Oryctolagus cuniculus: one gene and its partner. The protein of the gene in region 1 purifies or fractionates together with the protein of each later gene. This does not show direct contact. Links are inferred from orthologs where the notes say so. Each region holds a gene or a part of one and is shown in the gene's direction. Other genes may lie near its edges.

What was found. The genes of interacting proteins can lie anywhere in the genome.
Region 2: the proteins of RBBP6 (region 1) and SRPK2 purify together in Homo sapiens (affinity purification with mass spectrometry; 4 studies listed by BioGRID and IntAct, with this or other methods). This does not show direct contact. The link is inferred for Oryctolagus cuniculus from reciprocal best matches to the Homo sapiens genes RBBP6 and SRPK2.

Annotation. Positions count from the first base shown.
Region 1 is NC_091450.1:14,870,823-14,874,483, reverse strand, and holds part of RBBP6 (E3 ubiquitin-protein ligase RBBP6), read left to right. Parts: intron 1-284; coding exon 285-647; intron 648-939; coding exon 940-1,041; intron 1,042-1,896; coding exon 1,897-3,651; intron 3,652-3,661. UniProt on the Homo sapiens protein: E3 ubiquitin-protein ligase which promotes ubiquitination of YBX1, leading to its degradation by the proteasome.
Region 2 is NC_091434.1:139,341,741-139,344,110, forward strand, and holds the end of SRPK2 (SRSF protein kinase 2), read left to right. Parts: intron 1-75; coding exon 76-260; 3' UTR 261-1,724; downstream 1,725-2,370. UniProt on the Homo sapiens protein: Serine/arginine-rich protein-specific kinase which specifically phosphorylates its substrates at serine residues located in regions rich in arginine/serine dipeptides, known as RS domains and is involved in the phosphorylation of SR splicing factors and the regulation of splicing.

The DNA of each region.
Region 1 (3,661 bases):
TGATAACTAATGGCATGATGATCAATCTGAAGTTTACAAAAGATAGCTTTTAAATACAGTGTCTCCATGGTCTTATAAACATATTATCTCATTCCCTAAGTGTCCTTAAAAATCATGATTTTGTTATAGAATTACTTTTACAAATGAATGGCATCAGTATTTTATACTGGTTGATTCTCTTCTGCTATTTGTAAGTTTGAAAATAATTGTGGGTAGAAGACACATTTGATTGTCTCAGATGACTTGAATTGGAAGGAATAATACTTTGGAATTTATTTCTCCAGAAGTATAAACCGAGGGCGACACCACAGCGAGAGATCACAGAGGACCCAAGGCCCATCGCTTCCAGCAACGCCAGTCTTTGTGCCTGTTCCTCCACCTCCTCTGTATCCACCTCCTCCCCATACACTTCCTCTCCCTCCAGGTGTTCCTCCTCCACAGTTCTCTCCTCAGTTTCCTCCTGGCCAGCCACCACCTGCTGGGTATAGTGTCCCTCCGCCAGGGTTTCCTCCTGCTCCTGCCAATTTATCAACACCTTGGGTATCATCAGGAGTGCAGACAGCTCATTCAAATACCATCCCAACAACACAAGCACCACCGCTGTCCAGGGAAGAATTCTATAGAGAGCAGCGACGACTGAAAGAAGAGTAAGCATTTTAATTTGAATTACTAGACACTTCTTTCATTTTCTGATATAACATTAAATAGGTATGTTTGGAAACATTTTACAGTGTTTTCCAGTTAGTACAAGAAAATTCACCTAAAATTTAAACCAAAGCCATACAAGCAACTTCCTCAGGGATTCCTAGTTATTTGTAGTTTTAAAGTGGAAAACTAATGGCAATTTCATTCATTTCATTCATGATCTAATTACATTTGTCTTGTTAGTTTTCTTAAATGGTTTTTGTTAACTTTCACTCTTTAACTTTATTTTACTAGGGAAAAGAAAAAGTCCAAGCTAGATGAGTTTACAAATGATTTTGCTAAGGAATTGATGGAATACAAAAAGATTCAAAAGGAGCGTAGGCGCTCATTTTCCAGGTTAGTGTTTTGCAAGCCTTCACAACAGAATTACAAATGGGACTTGAATATCCAGGGATTAGCTATGGATATAATAGCATTGCACTTATGAAATTTTTCTGATTCGGTCTAGGTTTATAGAAATGGAGATGTAGCTTATTTCCCAATATCTGTTTATTGAAATAATGTCTCAGTGTAAATTTTATTGTGGTAGAACTAGCAGTTATGGGGATTAAATTGCCCATGTCCCTTGAAGTTATTTATAATGTGAAGTAATTGGGAAATGGTTATGGAAGGAAAGAAATAGGGGAATAGTCTTTAAAAACATTTCTGAGCACCCTTTCACCATAAGGCTACAGCTTCTTGCTGGAACATTAACCTGTGTAATTATAAAGTAGTAGTACAATACAAATTGCTTTATTGATAGAAAATGAACTATAAACATTCCCTGGAAGTTTGTTTAAAATTTTTTTATTTTTTTCAACTTACACTTGAGGCGTGGTTTTTTTTTTGTAAAGCTAGACTATTGGCCAGTGTAGGACAAAAATTGGACTCCTATTAAATAATCAGATAGGAAGTAAAATTTAATTGGCATTTTGTTTAATGTTAATTGGCTCATATAACTCACGGTACATTAATGCACTCCACTCCTAATTGTTAAGACTTCACTTTTGTTTTGTAACAAGTGATTGCTCTGATTTTGTGTATTTTATTCCATCCAAATAGAGGTCACTGTGCCTCTTAAATCATCTGAGATGAAACTTGATATAAAGAAAAAAAATCAAACCGTGAGGAGAGAATACTAGAATCTGAGAATCTGTATTTTATTTTGATATATTTCTCAACTATCAACTGTTGTTTTGTTTTTGTTTCTAGGTCTAAATCGCCCTATAGTGGTTCATCGTATTCAAGAAGTTCATATACTTACTCTAAATCAAGATCGGGTTCAACACGTTCACGCTCTTATTCTCGGTCATTCAGCCGTTCACATTCTCGCTCCTATTCACGATCACCTCCATACCCCAGAAGAGGGAGAGGGAAGAGTCGAAATTACCGTTCACGATCTAGATCTCATGGATATCATCGATCTAGGTCAAGATCACCCCCATACAGACGCTATCATTCACGATCAAGATCTCCTCAGGCATTTAGGGGACAGTCTCCCAGTAAGCGTGCTGTACCTCAAGGGGAGACAGAACGTGAATATTTTAATAGGTACAGAGAAGTACCACCACCTTATGACATAAAAGCTTATTATGGGAGGAATATTGACTTTAGAGACCCATTTGAAAAAGACCGTTACCGAGAATGGGAGAGAAAATACAGAGAGTGGTACGAAAAATATTATAAAGGTTATGCTGCTGGAGCACAGCCTAGGCCCTCAGCAAACAGAGAGAACTTTTCTCCAGAGAGATTTTTACCACTTAATGTCAGGAATTCCCCCTTCACTAGAGGCCGCAGAGAAGATTATGTTGGTGGACAAAGTCATAGAAGTCGAAATATAGGTGGCAGCTATCCAGAAAAACTTTCAACAAGAGACAGTCACAATCAGAAGGACAATACAAAGTCGAAAGAAAAGGAGAGTGAAAATGCTGCAGGGGATGGTAAAGGAAATAAGCATAAGAAACACAGAAAAAGAAGAAAAGGGGAAGAAAGTGAAGGCTTTCTGAACCCAGAGTTATTAGAGACTTCTAGGAAATCAAGAGAACCTACAGGTGTTGAAGAAAATAAAACGGACTCGTTGTTTGTTCTCCCAAGTAGAGATGATGCTACACCTGTTAGAGATGAACCAATGGATGCAGAATCTATCACTTTTAAGTCAGTTTCTGAGAAAGAAAAGAGAGAGAAAGATAAACCGAAAGCAAAAGGTGACAAGACCAAACGGAAAAACGATGGATCTGCTGTATCTAAAAAAGAAAATGTTGTAAAGCCTTCTAAAGGACCTCAAGAAAAACTAGATGGAGAGCGTGAAAAATCTCCTCGACCTGAACCTCCACTTAAAAAAGCCAAAGAGGAGACCCCAAAGACTGACGTTGCGAAATCATCATCATCATCTCAGAAAGATGAAAAGGTCATTGGTACACCCAGAAAAGCTCACTCTAAATCTGCAAAAGAACACCAAGAGACAAAATCAGTCAAAGAGGAAAAAGTGAAGAAGGACTATTCCAAAGATGTCAAATCAGAAAAGCTAACTAATAAGGAAGAAAAGGCCAAAAAGCCTAGTGAGAAAAATAAACTGCTTGATAGCAAGGGAGAAAAAAGAAAAAGGAAAACAGAGGAAAAAGGTGTAGATAAGGATTTTGAGTGTTTTTCAGTGAAAATCTCTAAACTAGAAGTAACTGAAATAGTGAAACCATCACCAAAGCGCAAACTGGAACCTGATATTGAAAAAATGGACAGGACCCCTGAAAAGGACAAAGTTTCATCAACAGCTCCAGCCAAAAAAATCAAGCTCAACAGAGAAACTGGGAAAAAAATTGGAAGTGCAGAAAATACATCTAATACAAAAGAGCCCTCTGAAAAATTGGAGTCAACGTCGAGCAAAGTGAAACAGGAAAAAATCAAAGGAAAGGTCAGACGAAAAGTAACTGGAAACGAAGGGTCCAGTTCAACTCTTGTGGATTATACCAGGTATTTGATT
Region 2 (2,370 bases), on another chromosome or scaffold:
AAAAGCCCGTGGCTGGACCAAGTGTGGGAAGTGCAGGATCGGAGCGCTCTTGACACTGGCCGTTCTTCCCCCTAGGAGAGCTGCGGCACATCACCAAGCTGAAGCCCTGGAGCCTGTTTGATGTCCTTGTGGAAAAGTATGGCTGGCCCCACGAAGACGCTGCGCAGTTCACAGATTTCCTCATCCCCATGCTAGAAATGGTTCCAGAGAAGCGAGCCTCTGCTGGCGAATGCCTTCGGCATCCGTGGTTGAATTCTTAGCAGATTCTACAAATCCAGCATTCTGTGCTAGCACATGTTTTCCAGTGCATTGGACCTAAACGGGGACTCTCATTCTTTAACAGGATTGCAAGTGAGCTGGCTTCATCCTCAGACCTTTATTTTGCTTTGAGGTACTGTTGTTTGACATTTTGCTTTCTGTGCACTGTGGTCCTGGGGAAGGGTAGTCTTTTGTCTTCAGCTAAGTAGTTCACTGACCACTCTCTTCTGGAAACAATAACATGTCTCTAAGCATTGTTTCTTGTGTTGTGTGACATTCAAATGTCATTTTTTTGAACGAAAAATACTTTCTCCTTTGTGTTTTGGCAGGTTTTGTAACTATTTATGAAGAAATATTTTAGCTGAGTACTATATAATTTACAATCTTAAGACATTATCAAGTTGGAACCAAGAAATAGCAAGGAAATGTACCATTTTACCTAATTCTGGCAGAGGGACGTCATTCCTGTATGATAGTGCATGTGAATGCGCTCTGTGAATGTGAACTCCCACCAGGTGTGGGACGAGGACTCAAGTGCAGAACAGCTCCAAGTCTCGAGTGCTTTACAGCCTGAGCCGCATGCGGCAGATTTTACTGCTCCGAGGAGCTGTGCAGACTTTTCATTCCCTAACAGTCCGTTCATGTTGGACTCGAAACGAAGTGGCTCTGGTTTACAAGGTGTCACTCCCCATATGGCACCTTAAGGAAGGAAAAGACATGCTTCTCGTTCTAAAATATGCATTATGATTTAGCAGTCCCATTTGTATTTTTTGCATATTTCTAAAAGTACCTTTAAAGGAAAAGGGTGATTTCCCTTTAAAAATGTGATGACTGGGTACTATGTGGTATTGCCTCCTCCAAACACTGTTAAGTTAAATACATAGATTAAATTGGACAAGAGAAACATGTTTGGTGTGTGGAATGGAAAAAAAAAAAAAAAGAAGCCTCTGTTTTTTCGAAAAGCTTGGTCGTGTTTGTCTAGCACACGAGGTATGGGGTTTAGAGTTTGCAGTGCAGTGGGCAGAACGCTCCTCACAGCTCGGAGGTGACAGTGGTCACGCGCATTCTGTGGCTAGAACAAACTGTACGCGGTTGCTCATTGCCTTTCCATGAACGGAGTGGAGAACATGATTTTCCCTTTGCAGGTTGCACACAGTAGTGTCTATGCATTTCCTCAAGATCAGTTGTAGAATCCAGGACACAAACCATAGTAGGCAATACGATTTTAGAATGTAACATATGAGGTATGTTTAGCCTCTTTTAGAAGTCAGTGGAGTGAATGTCTCTTTATTTTAAATTTTACATTCTTAAGGTGCCTCGTTTTTCTTGACTTTGTCCATTAACTTTTACCCATATGCCTTTGCAATAACTAGATTGTGAAAAGCTAACAAGTGTTGTAACAATAACCCATTGTTTGAGGTGCTTGCAGTTGTCTTAAAAATTAAAGTGTTTTGGTTTTTTTTCCAGCCATTGCCTTGATCATTGCCCTATATTTGAAGTGATAAAATCATCATGACTTTCTACCAGGGTAGTGGCATCAAAACTAAAGGAAGTAGCAACATTGCTGTCACAGCAAATACAGTGCAGAACATGCATTAAGGCTTATCATTAGGGAATAAAACCGAAGTTTTGTTATGGGCAGAAGTGTTCTGGGGAAGATGGCTACAGTATAGGTTCATTACCTAGAATTTCAAGTGATCCTTTCTCATCTTTCATCAAAAACATAGTAACTGCATTCTATTTGAACATCTCAGACTTTCGTTTTTGAAGAACAGCATTCACCATGAGAGAACAAGACACATAATCCTCTAAGGAATTAGCTCTAGCACATGCCACCATGAGGTAGAGTGTATCACCCATCCGTGTAATGTGCATGGACAGTTTGTCTAATAAGGCTTTAGGTTACCTTTTAGATTGTGTGACACATGGTAGCTGTGGACCAGTGAGGCTATCCACGATTTCCATAGGAAACATTTTTACAAGAACCACAGACTATGTATGTCTTCCCTATGTCTGCAAGAATTTTTACCAGGATAGTAGTGCACTTGAATGAAATTTTTTCTAATACAGGTTTTAGCGTACATTGGAAAATAAACTAGCTTAATTATGAAT